Linked DNA regions of Canis lupus familiaris. The protein of the gene in region 2 binds, or shares a complex with, the protein of the main gene of each other region. Links are inferred from orthologs where the notes say so. Each region holds a gene or a part of one and is shown on either strand. Other genes may lie near its edges.

Region 1 (5,587 bases), on a different chromosome or scaffold from region 2:
GGCACTCTGAGTAAGGGTACTCCGAGGTCGCCATCTCCAGCATGCACATGCCGAACGCGTACACGTCCACGGCCTCATCGTACTTTTCCTCGTACATCTCAGGAGCCATGAACTCAGGGGTCCCTGTAGGAGCCACAGCAGGCAGGCATCAAGCTACAGAAGCCTCCTCGGGCTTCGTCCCTCTTCCTGGGCACCGCTGCCTAGTCAGGGGGTGGGGGGCAGGGGCAACCCTGAGCATTCTGGAGTGCTAGCGACAGACCCTTCCCCACTGCGTGTGTTGGGGGAGGGGGGAGCGGGCAGTAAGGGGGAGAGAAGATGCTATAGGCCTCCCCAAGTCCCCTGCTCTTCTAACTCCGTGCAACTCAAAGGACACCTGCTGGGAAGGGGAGTTGCCAGGCTCTCTTCTGACGCGGGGGAGGTGTGAATAGCAAGGACCTCCTGGAGGGGGGAGGTGTGAATAGCAAGGACCTCCTGGAGAGACGCACCGATCACGCTCTTGGCAAAGGAGGCCCGCTTGAGCGTGGCCAGGCCCAGGTCCCCAATCTTGACCGAACCGGAAGGGCCCGTAATAAAGACGTTGTCGCACTTGAGATCCCTGTGCAGAATGGGGGGTACCCGGGAGTGTAGGAAATGAAGACCCCGGAGGATCTGGCGGCTCCAGCGCTGAAGGACTCGTGGCTTCATCTCGCGGAACCGCCTCAGGTATCTGGAGGAAAGGCACATAGCCAGGGTTGCGGCGGGGACACGGAGGCGGGGGAGGGGACCCTCGCTGGGAAGTTCCCCTAGTCCCCCTGGCACCGCCTCCTACGCATCTTCTGCCAGCATTCTTCTAGCTGGCTTGCCTGTCGGGCTCCAGGGAGAAACTGAGTCGGGGGTGTGCTAGGTAGAAGTGAGATTAGGAAACGGGTTGGGCGGGAAACTTGCAGATAGGGCCGTTCCTGGGGGCTGTGGGAGCAAGGAAAGGGATGACTAATTGCTCTGGGCGTGGGGGGAGGGCTTCAGAGAGGAAATAACTTTTATGTTGCATCTTGAAGGATGAGTAGGGGTTCAAGGGTGAAAAGGGGAAGGGATGGAGACTTTCCAGGCGGCAGGGACACTGTGCTCAAAGGCACGGAGACAGCAGCAGGGCAGGGTGGGAGGAGGTACAGGGAATTCCGCCTGTGTGGAGTCCAAGTTCAAGATGAGGCTAAATCCTAAGAAGAGTGGACTTTAACCTGAGGGAGGTGGGAAACCTTGAAGGGGTTTTAAGGAACAGAGAGGGCAGCCCCGGTAGCGCAGTGGTTTAGCGCCGCATGCAGCCCAGGGTGTGATCCTGGAGACCCGGGATCAAGTTCCACGTCAGGCTCCCTGCATGGAGCCTGCTTCTCCCTCTCCCTGTGTCTCTGCCTCTCTCTATCTCTCTCTGTGTGTGTCTCAAATAAATAAATAAAATCTTAAAAAAAAAAAAAAAAAAAAAAAAAGGAACAGAGAGATTCCCCCGACTGCAGGAAGATAGGATAGGTTGGAAAGGTGAGGGCAGAGTGGGAAAAGGCCCATTAGGGGGCTGCTGCAGGGTTTTAGACCAATGAGATGGCAGTGGATGGAACAGGGAAAGCAGAGTGGGGAATTATAAGGAAACCTTGGAGAGAAATTGATAGGGATAGGTGGATGCACAGAGTGGAGATAAAAAAGGCATCTGGGGAGATGCCTGAGTTTTGGCTGGGTGGACACTGTCACTCAAGAAGGCAGAGACGCAGTAGGGGTGGATGAGAAGTAGCAAGCCTGGTTTGGGACCTAAATCTAGAGTTTGAGGAGCCTGGGAGAAGTTCCAGAAACAGTGGGGACCTCCCACTACCAGCTCTCCCACCAACCAACACTACCACCAGGCACAGAGCTCACGTCTTGAGGGTGCCGGAGGTCATGAGTTCGGTGACCAGCACAATGCAAACCTGGCCCCTCAGCACTGACTTCCACGAGTCGTAGAAGCGGACGATGTTGGGGTGCTGCAGCCCCTTGAGCATCTCCACTTCCTCAGAGAATCGCTGCCGCTCGGTTCGAGACAGTTTCCGAGTCTGTGGGGTAGGGGATGGGGGTCAAGGTCATGTCGGGTCCAGGACCCCATAGAGAGGAGGAAGGGGCACATGGAGGGAGCAGCTGGGTGAGAGGTAAGGGTTGGAGCCCACAGACCAGGTTAGGTCATCACTTGCCCAAGGGGCTGTATGCCCCTAATTCCTGATCCGCCCCCTCAGGCTGCTGCAGGGACACGCCCATCCTGGGCCTGGGGCCACCCCTGGACCCCCTGCTGGACACAAGGGCCTTTATGCAGCCCCGTCCAGGAGCCCTGAGCTCAATAGCGCCTTTGTAGCCTCCTGGGCCAGCCGTGGGGCGGGAGGGGACGCCCCGGGGCTGGCAATGGGCAGGCAGCAGGCAGGCAGCAGGCTGACAGCAGGCAGAGAATTGGGGCCTTCAAGGGGGTTGGCCCCAGAAACCGAGAACTGCTAGATCCAGACAGGAGGCAGGAGGGCTGCAAAGGGAGTTACAGAGAAAGAGAACGATCCAGGACCAGGCACCAGGAGACTGCCCCCTGCCCCTTGGCTGTCCTGCCCCCCCCACCTCCCCCCAACCCCCCTCATTTGGCTGCCTCTCCTTGCCTGGCCTAGAGCCTGGGGCGCGGCACTGGCAGGCGCAAGGGGAGAGCCCAGTGCCAGAGCTGGAGGGGAGGACCCTTACCCAGGCTCTGCTCCCCGGTTTGAATCCAAAGCTGCTGGCCCAGACTTAACTGGGTTCTTCCCTCCGTGAGAGGAAGGTCCTTCCCACCAACATCCTCCTAAAACCCACTGGGTTCAGTGCTTTTGGGTCTGGGAAGGGAGAGCCCAAGTACACAGTGAGATGAGGAGCAGGACTGGACTCAGACCAGGGCTGGAGCTCTCTATCTCGCCCGCCTCCAGTTGTGTGGAAGTCTGTCTATAAGTCTGATGCTCCAGAAGGGGCCTGGGTGGGCCCCATCCTGCCACCACCACTCTAAATCTGCTGGAAATGGAGAGGATCCTGCCGCAACTCCTGGCCTCCATCATCCCAGCCTCTTACTCTTCAGAGATCTGGGGTGAAGGAGGAGGATGACCAGGGACACACCGAGGGTCTCAGGACTAAGAGGAAAGGGAAAGGAAGAGACAATAGGAGGAGATTGGTGAGGCCAGTCACACCTTAGATCTGAACTGGCTCCCTATCTGATTTTGCATTCTATCTTCCACCTCTCAGGGTTGAGTATAGAGACTTTAAAGTTAGAATGTCCAAAACCCATAGGGGAGCCACCCTCTGTCTCAGTTTATCCTTCTGCAGCCCAGAATCAGCCAGATCCATAGATCATCAGACCAAGGGGGTGCAGGCAGGAGTGTTCGGACATTTGACTGAAAAGACAGATCTCTCCCTTGCTGCTGTCCCCTAGGTTTCTCATCCCAAAACCTCTAAAGGGTCCCATCCCAAGATGCCACAGAGGGGGCGCCCAGCCACACCTGCAGCTCACACCAGGCCACCTCCACCGTGGTGTCAGTGTCCAGCCCTCGATACACCGTCTTGAACGAGCCACGTCCAATCTCGATGTCAAACTTGAGGTATCGGCCATCCGGGGATGTTGCCACTGCCTGGGTCTCCGTGTCCTCCTTTTCCTCCTGCTCCCGCTGCCGCTCCCGAGCCGCAGCTTCGGGGGCAGTCTGCGGATCCCGGCCCCCGGGGCCCCCTGTGGAGCCCGGGAGCTCTGGACGCGTGGAGTCTGCAGCCTTCACCGGGGCTCCCCCAGTCCACGTGCCCTCGGGGGGCTCTGGACGGCTAGGCGGTGGGCTCCTCGCGGGGCCGGCACCAGCGGAGTCCGGAGGATCAGGGGGCTCCGGAACGGGTGAAGCTGGCTGGGACCACAAGCTCAGCAGTCCCAAGTCGACGGAGCTTCGGCGGCTGAGACGGGAAGAGCGCGGCCGGGGCTCAGCCTTCCCGGAGAAGCGGCGCGCCCGGCGAGGAGGGGGCCCGAGGCGGGGCGGACCGGCGGCGGCGGCGGCGGCGGCGGCGAGAGGCGGCGGGGGCCGCAGGCCCAGGTCGGCCTCCGCCTGGGACATGGGGACTGCAGTCTCGGAGGTCGGGGGTGCCAGCATGAGGAAGGGCCGGCGCCGCAAGGCAGCAAGCCGGGCTGCTGGAGAGGAGGCGGCCTGACAGGCAAGGATTGGCTGGGTGCGCAGCGCTCCGGCTGAGCTCCTGGGGCCCCAGTCCCCGGCTCGCCTAACCCCCGGCCCCGCCCCCGGCCCCGCCCCCGGCCTCACCCCCCAGGGCCGCCCCCTCGGAGCGGCCAGCGGCGGAGCAGCCCCTCACCTCAGCAGCCCCGCCCCCGGCCGCAGGCCCTCCTCTCCCTCGCCTCCGGGCGCACCCGCCTGCGGGATCATTCCGAGGTGGACCGGGTGCTAGACGGCAGCGTGCCCTCCCGCAACAAGAGTGCGCAAACCTGTTTGGGGGCGGGTGGTGGAGGCTTAATGCTGGGGCTGGGAGAGGAAACATGACCAATGCTCTCGGGCTCTAGAAAGGGGGGTGGTTAAGGGAAGGTTACCACCCGCCTGCACTCCCCAGATAAGGTAGCCCCAGGCCGACAATACAGAGGTCAGTGGAAAGGTCTGGTTTTCTCCCAAGCCGCTGTCCCTCTGAACTGCACAGGGATGGGTGTGTGCACCCCAGGGAAAGCCCCTCCCCCAAGCCAAGGACCCGGTCACCCATCCCCTCCACCTCCCTACCTTGGCCGCAGCCTGGCCCTGGCCACAGTAGCTGTTTTTGCTATGTGGGCTCTCCTTCCTCCTCCTTCTGTTTGCCAAAGTTCCCAATAAACCAAAGTCCATATCCGGTTTACACCCCTTCAGCTCCCCTTGGCCTCAACTACCCCACCCAGACCAGAGGGATGGAGGGAGGGGCTTCAGAGTGGTTCAGGACTTTCATGGGGGAGACCGTGAGGAAATGAGAAGCCATTAAGTCACTCTAATTCAGAGAAAGAAAGCAGTTTGTCCCCAAGCTGTGTTCCATCAGCACTCCCCCACACAGCCCACCCAGCAGATGTAAAACCACAGGCTCACTGGAGCCTGCCAGCACTGGAGGACCTTTTCATCTACAAAGGCCGTAGGCCTCTCCTCTTTCCTAGGCTGGGATTCATTCAAGGGGCAATGCTTCACAGCCCTCCTCATGACCATTCCAGTAGTAACTTCCAACGTCAGGCAGACAAGTGGGGTTGAGCTTTTTAATATCATAAATCAGTGTCCAGCCCAGCCTCAACGCCAGGCCCCTTCCTGGGCCTCCTATTTTCATATTGCCTGGAAGGCTGCCTGCAGCCAGGGCTTCTCTCACCCCTTAGGAAGGATCCAGCACCAGCCTGAGAGGTGAGGCAATAGCAGCTAAAGGGGTGGGAAAGGGGAGAGACAAAAGCTTGTGCAGGCGCGTGTATGTACTTACGTATGTGAACACATGTGAAGTTAAAGGTTTACAGACCCTGGCTCAGGGACAGTCTAGGATGGTAGAGGAGGCAGGGCAAGGAGAAGCACATCTTTTCTCCCTGGTACCTCAGCCTCACCTTTCCCCAAGGACA
Region 2 (5,154 bases):
GTCAGGCATAAGGTTGGATAAGGGGCAGGAAGTTGGCATTAGAGCGCTCCCAGAGCAGAGATTCAAGCATGGAGGGTCTCTTCTCTCCCACTCCTGCCTCCCCCACATTGGGGCGGGGGGGGAGGGGGGTGCGGGAGGTGGGCAAGGGCAGTCCTACCTCACCTGTGGGCTACAGACTGATGGGGAACAAGAGAGTTAAAATAAAGATCTTAAACACTGGCTGTAGGCTAAATAAGCACTGCCCAATGCAAATCCACTTAATAGAGTTACTAATTAAAAGAGATTTTTTTGTCACTATGTGCTTTCCTAAGGGAGAAATAACAAAAGTACAAACATTATTTGGAAGTGGGCAATTATTTTAATTTAGAGGCTCAAAAATGCACTGTACCATCACAACTATTGCTGTATCAAATGTAAAATTCTTTCTTCTTCTACCACTGAGGTTGGTTTTGTTTTCTGCCCCAGAATCCATTCCAGTGGACCTTCTAAAAGAAAGGGACACCTCCTTTCCAGTTCCATCCTCACCTAAGCCACAGGAGAAATTCCTGACCCAGAAGCTCTTCTAGAGTCCAGGCTGCTTCTATGGGGTGTGCTGGCCAAGACACAACCACCTGCCCTCCCAGCTGCCCACCACTCACCAAAGCCTAAGTCACTTGGGAAAGAGGAAGGCTTGGGATGTGGAGGAGAGGAGAAGCTCCCAAGGGCAACCCCAGTGTCATTCAGACCAGGCAGCCACAGTAGGAGACAGGGAGAGGGAGGAGAGCACGGTGAAACGTGGAGAGCTGTACTTATAAGGCCAGAGTGAAGCAGAAGCCCTGTAAGATGCCCCTGAAACATTCTCACTGGAGTTGTGAGGAGGACCCTCTGCTTGTCCCAGGATGACCCAGAGCCAAAGGGCTTCAAATTTAGGATACACATGATCAACATGTTCCCAGGCTGTCCTCTGTGTCAAAAGGCATGCTACAATACAGCACTCCTTCCACACACACAAGATGCTCCCAAAAGCATTAAGGAGAGGATTTAAAATCACTACCATGAAGGCAACTTCTCTAACCCCCGCCAACCATCTCAACCTTGTATCAGCTGAAAAAATACCCACTCAAGGTTTCTCCTGGAGTCTATTAACAGGGACTTGCTATTTTTAACCCCTCCTCTATTGTTTGATATTCCTGGCTAAGGAACAAGGGGGGAAGTGGGAAGGTGGCTAGACAAAGCACTTACGTTTGGCAGACAAATCAATTTCTGTTCCACCAGGAGGATGAGATTGCAAAAAAACAATTTATCTTGATAGGAGGATGGAATCCTTGCACTCACCAGGATGACTTGTTTAGTATGTTAGAATAATGTACTTTTAAATGGAAATTTACACAATACTGGTACAAAACAAGAAATGCAGTGAGAGAAAAGAATATTTCTATTACTGTCTAATCACTGCATATCAAACTTTCCCCAAAGCAAGTAAGGGTGTTCTTGGGGTGCACATGAAAAGCAGAGAGACAGTGTTGTCCTACAAAGTAGGACATTTTAGTCCAAATCATACTCTGTGCTTTAATACATTGAATTTACACATATTTATAAGACTCCCTGATAGCATTTGCTAATGGTCTGAAAGAGTGTAGCACGATAGAAAGAGCAGTGAGTTTGGAGTCAGAAGACCCAGGCTCCAGGACTGGCTGTGCTATTTATGAATGAGCACATCACTTGCCTCTCTGGCATTCTACTTCCGCATGTGGAGAATGGAGAAAATGTAAGCTTTGCCTATCTTCTTCAAAAGGATTTTGGGAACAAAATTTGTATATAAAGGAGCCATTTATAAACTACAGTCTAACTGAGCCCCAGACCTAATCACTCCCACCTGCCTCACCCCACACACCCTTCCTAACAAGAGCAGGACTCTGTGACCAACCTGTCCTGCCGTGACAGTAATCAGACCAGGAAGGAAATGCCCACTTCACCCTAGGCTCTGTTAATGTGTCAACATAGGAATAGGAAAATAAAATTAATTAAATGAAATGATTCTTACCCCCCATCACATTATGCTCCTCAGTTATATGTTGACCCTGAGTCTTCAACCTGTAAGAGAACTGTTGACAAGTGGCCAAAGGAACAGGCCGGTGTTTCCTCTTAGGCTTCTCTTACTCTTCCCAACACAGCAGGCCACCCGCTAGCCTCGAGCCAGTAGCTGCACCTCAACTTTCCTCACCTGTTCCGTCAGGAGACTAGTACCTGACTCAGAGCTGTGATGGGAGGACTAGAGCCAGGGCATGAGGACAAGACCTGCGGACTGGGGCACAGATAGGGCACCACGCACTTTTGTTCTTACCCTCCACAACGCCCACACCCACGCTGCTCCGCCGTGTGTTCATCGGAGCCACGAAGAACCACTCATTGGTCTTGTAACTGTAGGCTTCCACGGATGCTAGGCCTGGGAGACAAGAGACTCATGAGATTGCCTACAGTGTGAGGCCTCACCCAGTGTGCCCAAGAAAAGCTGGGGAGAGGGTCAGAGACCTGCATGTATGGCTGAGCACCACCTCTACTTTGCTGTGTGGCCTAGGGCAGCTCCCTAAAGCACATCTGCATGGGAGGTGCACCAAGGCCTGACTCAGGGCAGGTCATGAGAGGACACAGGGATACAACTGAACTGCCCTGCAAATGTTAACCGTTACACCTACAGAATAGGGGAAAAAACCTGTGGTTGCCTCACCTAACACCTTTTGCCTTCTCTTCCTTTACATGAGAAGCTGAACACTTACCTTCCCACCCTAGGGGTGACCCAGTCAATGAGGCCTAAGTGGAAGTCTGATGGGCATTTCTGAAATAGCATTTGTTTTTCTGATACAGGTGCCAACACCAACCTGCTGTTGCCACCTGGAACACAAATGTGCTGGCTTAAGCTACCACAGACATCTTATGATTAGGAGAACATAGCCAAGAGACGTTTAAAGAGCTTGGCCACAATATTCTTGATCAAGTGGATGAAGTGAGCAACTACCAACTTCCAGAGTCCCTGTTTCATGGGTAGAACAGTATTTCTCAATTGCATAAGCCACCATATAGTAGAACTTTCTACTTACAGCTGACAGCAACTTCTTAAAGAAACAATGCTCCATTCCCTTTTTTTCTCTTTATTCTCAGGTCCTATCCATTAGTGGAAGCCCCTGGAGGGGCTGTAGACCCTGGAGGTTTATGAGTGAGGCAAAGAGAAGACTGGGAAAGGTTATCAAGTGGTAAAGACACAAATGAAAATTCAATGAAGTAAAAAATCCTGTTTTTTACATCCCTGGGGGCATTTCAGTGTACCAGAGCTACTGTCTACAGAGAGTACCACCTAGAGGTAGATGAGAAATGTGATCATCTCTCCAAGTCCACATCTATTCATAGTTTCTGATTTGAACTCTGAAGTGACACAGAAGCCAGGAGCAAGTGGATGTTCCTGCTGTGGCACAGCCTGGCAAAGCTTCATGGGGCAGGGAAAGGGCAATGGACAAAGATGGCATGCGCCTGAGTCAGGTTTCTCCCATGGTTGAACTCCAGCTCCTTTGTTCGTCCAGCAGAAGGTTTGGACAATCCTAAGATGCCCTGCAGCTAAACATGCTAAGTCTCAGTTTTTGAAAAAAATAGGTTCCCAAACAATAGCAAGGAGAATATGTTCTCTTCTGAGTGCAGAATCCTTCCTAGAGTCCTAGAAATGATAGCATGTGGGCAGTTACATAGTCTGTGTGCAGGAAAGCCTGCCTCTGGCAAGCAAGGTAGGAGATGAGGAAGGATGAGTATGCTGCTGAGGAAGTAGTTCTGGATGGACAGAACATTGGCCCAAGAACTGGCTGAGCAAACCAGGGTTGCCCTGAGGGCATGTCCCAGGCCGGGAGGAATGGAGACCACATCCCAGACCTACCAGTACTGCCATCAAAGCCCCCCACGGCGTAGAGGAGGTCATTGAGCACGGCCGCACCCAGAGTGCTCCGGCGCTCCTGCATGCTGGCGATGGACGTCCACTGGTCCTTCACACCATCATATACGTCCACTGTCCGCACGCGCAGTGAGCCGTTAAACCCGCCCACAGCATACACGTGACCAGCCATGAACACCACACCTGAGGCACAGGAAAACCAAGGCATCGAGGTCATCTCAGGCGGCTGATCACTCATGTGGTGACAATGAGTGACATTGGGGAGCCGGGCAATCACATGAATAATTCACCACAGAAAGTGATCTCCAACTTTATAGAACTGGAAGCCATTATGGACTCTCTGGATTTCCATTCATATATGCTTTTCCAATGTTGTTTGATTCAAGCAAATACTTGTACCAGCCTGAAGTCCCAAAGCACATAAGAACCGACCCCAGAAGGGGCAGCCAGAAACTGGGCAAGTGGGGAAGGAAGAGGAAGAGAGTCTATAATGCACAGATGTTTGTGGAAACAAGGAGCAGTGGAGGACTTCTGGCAGTAAGCAGAGACAAGCTGGGGAAAGCAAGCTGCACAATGACAGATGGTGCTACTCACCTGCTCTGCATCTCCTGGAGGGAAGCTCAGCAATCTGGTCCCACCGGTCCTCTTCGAAATCGTAACATTCCACGCTGCGGATCGCCTTGGGGGCCTGGCCACCAACCACAATCATGACCTCCAGAAAGACAAACAGACATTAGCTGGGTCTGCCCAGCTAATGGATTCACACATGATCAATCCCTGGTACTTCCGCATGCCAGCTGCCCAGGGTCCACGGGCCATCCAGGGTACAGAGTTACACATTTGGAGATGCTGTCCTAAGTCACCAACAAATAGGACAATTCAAGAAAAATCTAACAATAACATCATATGAAGAAACACCATCATGAGAACTACACTTCCAAATCCTTGTGCTCAGGGCTGTGCTGGTGGTACATGTAGCCACTCAGGGCTTGTTCTATGATCACAATGCCCTCAAGGATTTCGGCGAGGGAAACGAAATTTTGCATCAAAACAAAATATCACAAAACATATATCAAAATTTGAATATATTTTGGAATAGAGTGCAACTTGGTTGCATTTTTAGGATAAAATTACTTCAAAAATATTTCTGATTACAGAAACTACAGAGGGCAGGCACTTACTCATTGAAGTTTAGGGGAAAACTGCGAAAGACTGCTTTGGGGTAGCAACCACAAAAATGT
Region 3 (5,861 bases), on a different chromosome or scaffold from region 2:
AGTCTTAATTATATTATCTTCATGAATTAGAGAAATGCTGTTATTACTTAGCTAAATTTAATGAATGAATGATGTACAAATAAAGCTTTCTCCATCTTGTCTCAATGAACTAATCTTATTTAAAAGGCCAAATTCTACAATATACCCTATACTTTAAAATAGTTTCAAATTCAATACTGGAACTAATCATTTTCCAGGCTCCTCTGAAGTATCTAGGAAGATAATGCAAAATACAAATGCCTTATAGGTAACTACTTTACGCTTTTGTTTTTTAACTTCTAAAGCTGAAAACATACTAACAGCTACAACATAACTGGATGTCCTGAAACTACTAAACAAATCAGTCTAAGTGTAAACAACGCTTTAACGAATCTTTTATAACTTACTCCATAGTTTCTGTATGCTAGAGAATGGTAAGTAAATATAGTTAATTCCCCACCCTGTTTGATTTCCAGGACTATTATTCAGACTATTATTCAGCTTTCCTGTATATAGTCCAGGTAATCCTAGGCAACTGTTACTTTCTCTAAGGAAATCTATTATGAAGATCAAAGCTGTTTTTTCCCAAATCTAGCAAATTTTACCACAGCTAGGAAAAACAAAATTAAGTGTCCCCAATTACCATTAAACTCTTGTGTTCTTAAGTACATCACAAATGATCTTAAAATTCATCTCCTTCTATTGTCATCCACTCTGTGGTTTCCCTCTAACAATAACCTCTACATGACTCACTGTCCATGCTACACAGGTAGAGCTCCAAGAAGCCAATCTAGGATTATGGAGTGGACATCACAACCAGAGATTCTTCATCATGACTATGCTCTATAATAACTGAAACCACTTCCAGATCACACACTTCTAAAGACCATCACTTTCATAATATGACTTCTAAACTCTGAAGGCTAAGTCAAGAAGGGACTATCAGAAGAGAGAGGAGCATTTTCATTCAAATATATCCCCTCCAATCCAATCAAGTTTTTTCAAGCCCATGTGGACAAAACCCATGTGGAAAGTACAGATGGAGAGGAATGGCTTTTCGAAGATAAAGGACAAAAGGTTCACCTGACAGCAACTAATTCTACATAGCAGAACAAAAGAAAAGCTCAGGAGTGAGACATTCAACAACAGCAAGGAAAGAAGAGCAGAAACTTCTTGGGGCAGCACTCTGATCCAAATCCATATAGCTTCCAAGAGTTTCGCAACTACAGCTTCCTTCCTTAAAAAAAAAATTTTGCCCCTTGCTGTTAATTTTGGGTACCAAAAAAAAAAAGTGAAATGACATATTTTGTGCAGTGTAGGAAAGCTTTCAGGCTGGGATAAACTTTAACTCCATCAACAATTTATGAATCCATAAAGTCCTCACTGTTTTCCATCTTAAAAAAGAACTAATTTCTCTTAAAATCTTACGAAAAGTTCTACTTAAAATGCAAATTGTAGATAAAACTGTGGTATGGCATAACTTACTCTTGGGAACAATAATGAAGGAACACTTAAAATATGTACTCAAAACACTAAAAGAACCTGATTTTACTGATGGGTCTGTATCTGGAATATGCTTACACATCTTATAGAATAGCCTGTGAGTTCACTTACCACTCTGTTTTGCAATGAAAACAAAACAATCTCAAAACATATTTTTACACTTTTTACACGTCGATTTTATAAAACAGAATCCTGAAATGAGCACCTGAGACCTTTGGTTAAACTATAATTTTCTTAAACTACAGTACCTACAATGCATGTCCAAAGATTAATACAAAATACTATATAGCTATAAATATTGTACATCTGTACCACATACAAACGCTATTTTTTCTTTATGGAACAGTATGCATTTACTACTAGAAGACTGCTAACCTGTAAGAAAAGAGAAATTTTGAAGGTCTATAAGGACTCATTTACCAAAGGGTAAGTCGGTGAAATATCATACCACTGAGGCATTTATCCAAGAAACTGTAACTTAGAAGTTTATAAATCAAAAAAAAATCTAGGTTCTTTTCAGTAGAAAGTTGTTACGAATATTATAAATCATGAAACATTGAAAAACTATGCTTTTAAAAATTAGCAGGTACTAAACTACTGAGTATCAAACAGTAGTCATTTATAAACTTCAATAAAGAATATTAGAAAATCTTAGATGGCAACAAGTTGTGGACAGAAAAGATCCAAATTAGCTCACAATCATTAACACACACACACAAAAAAAAAAATCAGTTTCAGGACTATGTGCTAACCTATCATATACTATACTCTTTTGCTAAAGGAATCATGAAATTCTTTCCTGCCTCTCCCAATAATAAATACAACATCCAGAAAGAAGGGATCTTTAGTCTTCAAGCTGTATTGACTTACTCCAAGCTCCTAGAACAGTGCCTGGCACACAGTACTCAGTCTTCATTAAACGAATGAGGGAATGAAGACCAGGTAGGAAGAGGTAAACCTAAATGGACGAAAAAGCTAATCACGCTTAAAGGTACAACTGGTTAATCGCAATATTAACAAAAGTGAGTTCATGTCAAATGTGAGCTATGCCGCATTATAGTAGTAAGTTTGAGTTAGAAGAACTCAGACTTCAAGAATAGCAAATTTTTCCTAGAAAACTTGTTATACAGAAAACTATTTGAAACTCTTAATAATTCGAAATCCTGCTAAACATGTTCACAACTGCTTTAGTAGCAAAACTAACATTACTCAAAAATTCCTAAGCCCAGCTCACTTCACTGTTAAGAGAAAACATGCTGACAGACTTCATTAGTTCTCTTCTGCATTAGTGTCTTCCCTCACTGCAAATCACACTTCAGAAAAAAGCAAGCCTTCCCACAGTGAATACAAACCCCACCTTTTCCCCCTTCCCAAAATATGACGTGTGTAGGATTCTAAGACATTCAAGATCTTTCCCCAGTTTTACTGTTGTTTTTTTTTTTTAAAAAAACAAAAAAAACAAAACCTTCCGTTCGACTGCTGGTTTGCCTTTCTTGACATATACCTGTTACCGTAGCGACGTGAGGCAAGAACGTCCAGTTTCTGTTACAACAGTACACTTTAATTGCTTGCCATGGGCTATCTGAATCAGGTATGGCATCCCAAGTTACACTCTCTACACTAAATAATGCCAGCGTATGACTCAACGTAACGCTAAAAAAGAAAGTTTCTAAACAGAGCAGCCTTTGCTGTCGCTGAAACCCACAGCGTAGAGCAACTCGGGGCAGTGACGACCCCCTCCTGCTGGGCTTCCACGGCTAAGATCTGGAGAGGCCATTGTCCAGCGTGTGTTCTCTGGCTTCCCCTTGACCCTCCTACAAGTGGCGAGGCCAATTCCTGCACAAGAAGAGTTTGTAAAGTGCTTTTGGACGCCTGTGGATGAAAGAGGCTATAAATACAGCTGACGAGGTTAGGTGCGTGCGTTACTACCGAGCAGTGCAAGGAGCCACGGTCACTGCGTCGGGGGGCGGGTAGGTGGGCGGCCAGCCCCCTTCCTGCGGAGGCACAGGACAGCCCCCTCCACCCCCCGAAAGGTCTGGCGGGCCCTGGTTGAGGCCGGGTTATTTTTGAGACCGCACGTGAAAAGTTCCACACACGCCCCCCCACACACGGAAGACTTCCACAGTCCCCGTCCCCGCGGGTGTGGTGGTCCCGGGGCGCCGGCAGGGAGGGGAGCACCGGGGGCCGGGCCTACCCCCCGGGAACGTGGGAAGGGGCCGGCCCAGGGGCCCCCGCCGCAGCCGCAGCAGCCGCCGCCCGCCCGCCCGCCGCCGCCGGCCCGAGGCTCCCGGGCGGGTGCGCGGCGCCGGCCTGAGGCGCCGGGGCCCCCGAGCCGCCCGCCCCGTGGCCGGGAAGGCTCGCGCCCCGCGGCCGGCGGCGTGGGGGAGGGGAGGCCGGGCCTGCGGCCTGTTGGGGGAGTTCAGCCCGGGCCTCGCGTGCGGCTCTCCGCCGGGCCCCCCGGCCCCGGGGTCCCAGGCGCCGAGGAGAGACTCACCGGAAAGGCCCGGATCCGCATCTTGGTGTCCTTCCGGCTGCCCGTGCCTTTGCTCAGATTCGACATGGTGCTCGTCCCCTCCCCGGCGGCGGCTTCGGGTCGCACTCCGAGGCGCCGGTGTCACATTTAAGGCGGGCGGGCCGGCGAGGGGCTGCGCTGGGGGGCGGCGGCGGCGGCGGCGGCGGCGGCGCGGCCCCCGGGCTGGGCTGGGGAGCGGGCCGGCCCCTGGGCGGCCGCGGCGGCTCGGGCTCCGGCGGCTCGGGCTCGGGCTCGGGCTCGGGCTCGGGCTCGGGCTCGGGCTGCGGCGGGGCTGGGCTGGGGGGGCTGCGCTGGCGCGGCGCCTCCGCGGGGTCCCCCTCACGCCCGGCTCGGCTCCCTTTATCGCGCTCCTCCGCGATGGCGGCGGCGGCGGCGACGGACAAACATCTCACTGCGCAGGCCGAACGTCCTCCTCCTCCTTCTCCTCCTCCGCCTCGACGAGACGAGATCCGGCCCAGAGGGTGGAGGGGGGAGGAGGGAGGGAGGAGAGCCGGAGAGTGGAGAGATCGGGGGGAGGGGGTGGGAGGACGGGAGGGGGAGGCGGGCGGCCGCGGCGGCGGGGCGGGGCGGGGACGCCGAGATCTCGCGAGACGAGGGCGAGCGCGCTGCCCCGGGTGGGGCGGGGCGAAGCCTGAGAGCGGGCGGGGTCCGCGGGAGGGGAGGAGGGGAGCGGGGAGTTGGGGGAGTGGGCGTGGCCAGCGGGGCGGGGAGGTTGGGTGAGGGGCGGGGCTGAAGGCGGGAGGAGAAAGCTGCCTTTTTGAAAGGGGAGCGACGGCGGCGCGGAGGTGGTTGCTGATTGGTGGAGCGCGGCGCGGGGTGGGAGGGGTCCCGGTCACGTGGGCGGAGGGGGCGGGGCGAGTCCTGAGAGCCGGAGCCGGACGGTAGTGGGCTGGGCGGGGTTGGGCCGGGGTCGGGGGGGGGCGGGGGCGTAGGGGTGCCAGGTGGTTGGCTGCAGTCTTAGAACTGGTTCCTGTGCGAGTTTCTAGGGCATGTGAGCTGGGGGGGTTGGGGGGGGTGTTTGAGTGGAAGCCAGAAAGTCCAAGGAAGAGTTTGTGCAGGAGTCACCTGCGGCCGTGAGTGCTGTGTGCCCTACGAGGGGCTCCAACGGGGTGCGCGCCCCCGCCCTCGGGATTGAGGGGTGCCGCTCATCCAGGCCCCTTCCTGGGGGAACCCGGGACTCCAGAGCGTTAAAACCTCTTTCTCATCCTTGAAATAAAATGACAACTCCCTTCATGTAGTATTTTGGCAGGTGGTGAAGAATAGAGCGGTAGGATGATAGGAACCTGCCCTTGACCTGCCGAATCATTTCTGCCATTAACCAAGAGTATTGTCGATTTTGGAAGCCGAAATTACTGTCTTTGATCCCAGGTTGTTGTGATTTTGGAAGTTGTTTTTGTCACTGTGGTCAAGGGGTCTAGTTGGATTCATCCGTTTTGCTCTTTATCTTTTTATTGATTGTGAATTTTACTTCCTGATTTACCTCTTTGCCCAATTGGTATTCTATCTGGACTTCTGACACTGCAAAGAATTATGGGAGTTCCCACTAAAATTTATAATGTCCTTTTAGGTGAGAACCTACTGTTGGGATGGGCACCTACATGTGGAAACTGAGGTTTTGATAGTTTGCTTACTTATTGTGATACTTTTCAATACCTCTTTATTTTTTATTTTTTAATTTTTTTCAATACCTTTCTTAAAGCAAGGATGTTAATACTTTTTTTATAGCATTTGAAAGCTGCGGTTTTATACTCTTTAAGTCAACAGAAATCTACTTTGTTGTGTGATTTGCCCTAAGTTAACTTAATCATGATGACTAAATTTAGGAATGTTGTGCTTTCATCCCCTA
Region 4 (5,154 bases), on a different chromosome or scaffold from region 2:
CTATTCCACAAACACTGTTAAGTTCTTGGTTTTAATTCTTGAGGCCATTGGCATTAATAACTTGTAAACAATATACTTATTCATCTATTTTTTGATGTAATAATTTTAGATAATACCTAATAATTCACAGCTGTGAAGAGTGAAGAAATTACTGTATTTTCCCTTTCCTCTTCTTTCCCATACATCTCCCAATTTTTATTACTTGTATTACTTTTTAACACTGGCAAAGTTTATAACATCTACATTTTTTTCTGTAACACTGGTTGTGCTTTGTCTGTAGGTTGATTTGAAGAATTGAAGATCAATAAACAACATTTATATTATGATTATATGTGTATCTGATGATGTAATATGATTAAAAGCACAGGAAATGAAATAGACTTCTCTGTCATTTAAATTTTGTTGCTCAGAGGATATTCTTTCAAATGTCAAGGTCAAATAGATTCTTTTAAAGTGTCCACTGCTACATCTGGATCAGTCTTAACTGTTTCTGGTGTCCTAGAATTCCCTTTCCCCCCCTGAAATGCTTCTATGAGTAATATTTTTAGGTATGTTGTATGGGTGACTATTTTTTTAAAGTCCAAAAATGCCTTTTGTTTGTTTCACACTTGATTAAGTATACGTGGCAGGGTCATTTTGAGTTAGTTTTTATATATATATATTGTGTGAAATAAGAGTTCACCTTATTCTTTTGCATCTGACTGTCTAGTTGTTCCAGCACCATTGTTATTCTTTGTTGTTATTATAAATGGAATTGTTTTCTTAATTTCCTTTTCAGATTTTTCATTGCTATTGTATAAAGTATAACCAATTTTGAAGTGTTGATTTTGTATCCTTCAATTTTGCTGAATTTGTGTATTATTTAGGATTATATGTATAATACATAAGATCATATTGTCTGCAAAAAGAGATAGTTTATTTCTTCACTTCCTTATCTATTAACTTTTCATTGCATGCTTTCCATCTCTTTGTCCTTCTGCTTTTTGTAGAGAATTTCTCAATTTTTAAGCTGTTTCCAATTTCCTGTTCAGCTATTTTTTATGTCAAGGATTCTATTTTTGTTTTTTCATTTTTATTATTTTTACTTTTATCATTTTTTAAGAAAGGGGCAGGGAGAAGGGCAGAGGGAGAGGGAGAAGCTCAAGCAGGCTCCACACCCAGCCTGGAGCCCAATGCAGGATGCGATCTCACAACCCTGAGATCATGATCTGAGCCAAAATCAGGAGTTGGACACCTAACCCACTGAGCCACCCAGGCACCCTAAGGATTACATTTTTATTTTTTTTATTTATTTATTTATTTATTTTTTTAATTTTTTAAATTTTTATTTATTTATGATAGTCACAGAGAGAGAGAGAGAGAGAGAGAGAGGCAGAGACACAGGCAGAGGGAGAAGCAGGCTCCATGCACCGGGAGCCTGACGTGGGATTCGATCCCGGGTCTCCAGGATCGCGCCCTGGGCCAAAGGCAGGCGCTAAACCACTGCGCCACCCAGGGATCCCAGGATTACATTTTTAATTTCCAGTAACTATAGTTCATTATTTTTCTTATGTTTGTATTATCTTCACACATTTTTCTAGAGATTAATTAAAGTCTTATTCTGTGTTATTGGCTATTCTTCTTGTTGTTGAATTTAGTGCTTGCTTTCTTTTTAAAAATTTTTATTTACTTACTTTTTATGCAGGCTCCACACGCAGTGTGGACTCACAATCCTGAGATCAAGAGTCATATGCTCCACTGACTGAACTAGCCAGGTGCCCCTAGTATTTTCTTATAGTATCAATTTCCCACATTTGATGATTCTTAGTTGTGTACTCTTCTTTTTCCCCTGTTAAGATTCTTTGTTTGTCTCTCTAAATGCTATATATAATTATTGTAGCCTTCCTCTGGTAATTGTGGGAAAGGCATGGGACATGTTTTTTGGCTCTGAATATTATAATTTTTCTCCAAATGCTGCCAGGAGGGTGGCTTAATAGTCTTCAAAGATAGAAGTGCTTTTCCTTCCTTGTGGAAGTTGTCTCCTTCCTACATTGCTGATTTGGCCACATTTTCCTCTCACCACTCTTATTTGGGAGCAGATGCCCCTGCTGTCTTTTGCTTGTAGAGATAGGGAGGGAAAGAACTGCATTATCTATTCTTTCTGTGGTACGCCAACCAGTTTACTCTCCCATTCAGTGAGTAAGTCAGGATCTCTTTTTGTGGAGCTCAAATTCTAGTTTCATGTTTCTCAAAAGTGAGTATTTTTTGTATTAATTATTATGGAGGATTTATTATTAAAGTACTCAGAATACAGCAGTTAATTCTGACATGTTGGGAGAGGTAGGAAGACAAGAAGAGGAGAGTGATTTTATAGCCAACTATGGCCTGATGTTAACAATTTTTAGAGCAAGAATTTGAAATAATTTTGAGGCCCATTGTAAATTTCTGTGTGCTTACATAAAGTAAGAAATTCAATTTGGTAAGATTTCTCTACAAATCTAAATGCCTAGATATCTTGTTTTTCTATGTTATCATGTGTATTAGGCATCTTTAACTCTCACAAATATGAGCATAAATGAAAGTTTCATTTTAAGAGCATAGGGTTTCAGTAACCATTTTTATTAAATGAAGTTTATGAAGGAAATAACTTAAATTTTAATCTTCAGTTTTCAAAGTTGCTATAATGGAAAATATTCTAGGGTGGAAGATTAATATTCTGCTCTTTATTTATCTGAAGTTCAGATAATATTTTTAAAGAAAAGGAAAGGATTAATTCCTAGAAGTTGACTATTTCAGATGCACTCTGATATGTAAATATATATAGCATTTTATTTATGCTTACTCATTAGTCCATGCAAGAAACTCCAGTGGTGTACACAACTGCTTCACCTTATACAAATTATTACCATTTTGGTTTTTCTCTTTTTGTCTCCATTAGGAGATGTCTCCAGATGCTTCACTTCCAGGAGATCCAGAGGCCTATCCTGCTGCTGTGTCAAGCGGTGGAGCCATTCATCTGCAGACAGGAGGTGGATATTTTGGCCTAAGCTTTACTTGTCCTAGTCTCAAAAATCCTATTAGCAAGAAATCCTGGACTCGCAAATTAAAAAGCTGGGCATACAGGCTACGGCAGTCAACCAGCTTTTTCAAGAGATCAAAAGTCCGTCAAGGTAGTGTGCTTACAGTCAGGGACATAGACTAGGTAACATCACTTTTCATTTACTTCTTTTTTTTGTTGTTGTTTGTTTGTTCATATACAGATCTTAACCACTTTTTCCACATAGCCCATGTATGTGACATGTCCCATTAATGTCATTGCCATTTTCCTTTTGTAACTAATTTGATTTTATAGTTACTCATTTCATGTAGATACTAAGTCTCGGGATAAGTCTTACAATGTCTGATTTTGAGTTAGGGACTTCTACAATGTTGCTTATTACATTAACACTTTTTAATTATCTAGCAGGGTTAAGCTTTTTCTACATTTCTTCATTTTTTTGGTAATATAAACAAATTTAGTCTTAACAAACAATTTTCTCTTTTCTGCTTACAATTGCATAAAACTTGCAGTGGAAACAGAAGATAGGAGATCAGCAGTTGGTCCTGATCCCATTCCTCTGACAGGAGAGTCCACAGCTGATACTAGGGCTTTGAGTAGATGTAAAGCAATGAGTGGATCATTTCAGCGGGGTCGATTCCAGGTTTGTGTCTTTGGTTGAATCTTTATCTACACGGGCATTGAAGATCTTGGTATTTAGAGGATATTTATCTTAGATGTAGATTATTGTCATATTTAATTTTTTCCCCTTATACACAGCCCGTTACCTTTCGTAGCCTTCCAGTAAAGGCAAGTCTAAAGAAGTAATTTTAGTAGCTGGAAAAGAGCACAGAAATGAGTTACCATTTTTCAGTGGGTGGTTGGATCATCTTTTTTATAAATCTATTTCTTGTCCTTTAGAATCTCAGCAACTTGAATTATCAAAAATTTTAAATTGTAGTATTTTATTTGAGTAACATGAAGCCCACTCTCTTTACCCAAGGAGCCCGAGTGAAAGACTTTGAAAATGGGAATTATAGATGGGATTTTAAGTTTGGATATTATCAATGTGTGTACATCCACTTGTCTGTGCCATATTTTGATATTGAATTTCTTTGTGGGTTTACTCTTTGGTTAGACAGAACCAGCCACTTTTGCCTTTTTGTTTCTCAGGTGATTACAGTTCCTCAGCAACAGTCAGTGAAAGTGACATCTTTTGGAATAGAACGCACACCAGCATTCAATAAACTGACAACTCATTCTAGTGAAGAAGTTTTAGCCTTTACGGACATGGCAAAGTCTCAGTTAGTGGAAATGGAACCTGCCACACACAATCCACAAACTTCACTTCCTTCTCAGAAGTTACGAGTTCTTCATGAAACCTTTAAAGAAGATAAAAAAATTCTCAAACAAGGTGACAACCTCACATCTTTCAGCACAGCTCATGAAGCTGATGTATCTTCAATGACCCCAGAAAAAGAATTGGGGGAAAACTCAGCCACGGAAAGTAGTGTGCATTCTGGACTTGAATTGTTGCTTAAAGAGAGAGAGATACTTATTGCTGGGAAACAGCCAAGCTCTGATAGTGAATTTTCAGCCACTCTTGCTGTCAGAGGGAAGTCAGTGGCAAACACTGGTCCAGAGAGTGGTCAGTGCTTACCACTCCGTGAAGAAAAAGCCTGTGCTCAAATACAGAGCTCACTCTTCTATTCGCCATCTTCTCCAATGAGCAGTGATGATGAGTCAGAAATAGAGGATGAGGATTTGAAGGCAGAGCTTCAAAGATTACGAGAAAAGTAAGATTGTTTCTCTCTCTCTCTCTCTCTTTTTTTTTTGATTGTTTCTCTTTTATCACAAATCTGCCTGGAGTTTTATAGAATTAAGTATTTGATAGCTAATTTACAATTGGTGACATTTAAAAAAATATTTATTTACTTATTTGAGAGAGAGGGAGAGTGAGCAGGGAAGGGACAGAGGGGAAAGAATCTCAAGCAGACTCCGTGCTGAAAGTGGAGCCCAGAACAGGGCTCTAACTCAAAACCTTGAGATCATGACCTGAACCAGAGCCAAAAGTCAGACACTTAACTGACTGAACCACCCAGGTGCCCCACAATTGGTGACATTTTAATGATTGGGAA

The links.
Region 1: the proteins of KLHL3 (region 2) and WNK4 are in contact, whole or in part, in a crystal structure (PDB 4CH9), measured with the Homo sapiens proteins. The link is inferred for Canis lupus familiaris from reciprocal best matches to the Homo sapiens genes KLHL3 and WNK4. Residues at the interface, in NP_059111.2 of Homo sapiens: Arg339, Phe355, Gly357, Ser358, Leu359, Arg360, Thr386, Phe402, Gly404, Gly407, Ser432, Tyr449, Gly451, Ser481, His498, Arg528, Tyr577; in NP_115763.2 of Homo sapiens: Glu557, Pro558, Glu559, Glu560, Pro561, Glu562, Ala563, Asp564, Gln565.
Region 3: the proteins of KLHL3 (region 2) and CUL3 are in contact, whole or in part, in a crystal structure (PDB 4HXI), measured with the Homo sapiens proteins. The link is inferred for Canis lupus familiaris from reciprocal best matches to the Homo sapiens genes KLHL3 and CUL3. Residues at the interface, in NP_059111.2 of Homo sapiens: Pro73, Tyr74, Ala77, Met78, Asp82, Met83, Ser84, Glu85, Glu92, Ile93, Lys94, Asp95, Pro125, Ser128, Leu129, Gln131, Met133, Arg136, Asp160, Val161, His162, Thr163, Thr165; in NP_003581.1 of Homo sapiens: Ile44, Asn49, Ser50, Gly51, Leu52, Ser53, Phe54, Glu55, Leu57, Tyr58, Arg59, Tyr62, Thr63, Leu66, Lys68, Met118, Asp121, Ile122, Met124, Tyr125, Arg128, Val129, Gln133.
Region 4: the proteins of KLHL3 (region 2) and WNK3 are in contact, whole or in part, in a crystal structure (PDB 5NKP), measured with the Homo sapiens proteins. The link is inferred for Canis lupus familiaris from reciprocal best matches to the Homo sapiens genes KLHL3 and WNK3. Residues at the interface, in NP_059111.2 of Homo sapiens: Lys312, Arg339, Phe355, Gly357, Arg360, Thr386, Phe402, Gly404, Ser405, Gly407, Ser432, Ser433, Tyr449, Gly451, Arg454, Cys456, Ser481, His498, Arg528, Tyr577; in NP_065973.2 of Homo sapiens: Glu537, Cys538, Glu539, Glu540, Thr541, Glu542, Val543, Asp544, Gln545, His546.

What each region holds. Positions count from the first base shown.
Region 1 is NC_049230.1:20,109,211-20,114,797, forward strand, and holds the start of WNK4 (serine/threonine-protein kinase WNK4), read right to left. Parts: upstream 4,229-5,587; 5' UTR 4,122-4,228; coding exon 3,492-4,121; intron 2,838-3,491; exon of another isoform or gene 2,710-2,837; intron 2,052-2,709; coding exon 1,879-2,051; intron 707-1,878; coding exon 486-706; intron 124-485; coding exon 1-123. UniProt on the Homo sapiens protein: Serine/threonine-protein kinase component of the WNK4-SPAK/OSR1 kinase cascade, which acts as a key regulator of ion transport in the distal nephron and blood pressure.
Region 2 is NC_049232.1:25,383,013-25,388,166, forward strand, and holds part of KLHL3 (kelch-like protein 3), read right to left. Parts: intron 4,626-5,154; coding exon 4,508-4,625; intron 4,097-4,507; coding exon 3,899-4,096; intron 2,426-3,898; coding exon 2,324-2,425; intron 1,964-2,323; coding exon of another isoform or gene 1,842-1,963; exon of another isoform or gene 1-1,841. UniProt on the Homo sapiens protein: Substrate-specific adapter of a BCR (BTB-CUL3-RBX1) E3 ubiquitin ligase complex that acts as a regulator of ion transport in the distal nephron.
Region 3 is NC_049246.1:38,008,836-38,014,696, forward strand, and holds the start of CUL3 (cullin-3), read right to left. Parts: upstream 3,275-5,861; 5' UTR 3,260-3,274; coding exon 3,188-3,259; exon of another isoform or gene 3,019-3,187; intron 3,008-3,018; exon of another isoform or gene 2,987-3,007; intron 1-2,986. UniProt on the Homo sapiens protein: Core component of multiple cullin-RING-based BCR (BTB-CUL3-RBX1) E3 ubiquitin-protein ligase complexes which mediate the ubiquitination and subsequent proteasomal degradation of target proteins.
Region 4 is NC_049260.1:46,311,867-46,317,020, reverse strand, and holds part of WNK3 (serine/threonine-protein kinase WNK3), read left to right. Parts: intron 1-2,917; coding exon 2,918-3,008; intron 3,009-3,549; coding exon 3,550-3,680; intron 3,681-4,189; coding exon 4,190-4,812; intron 4,813-5,154.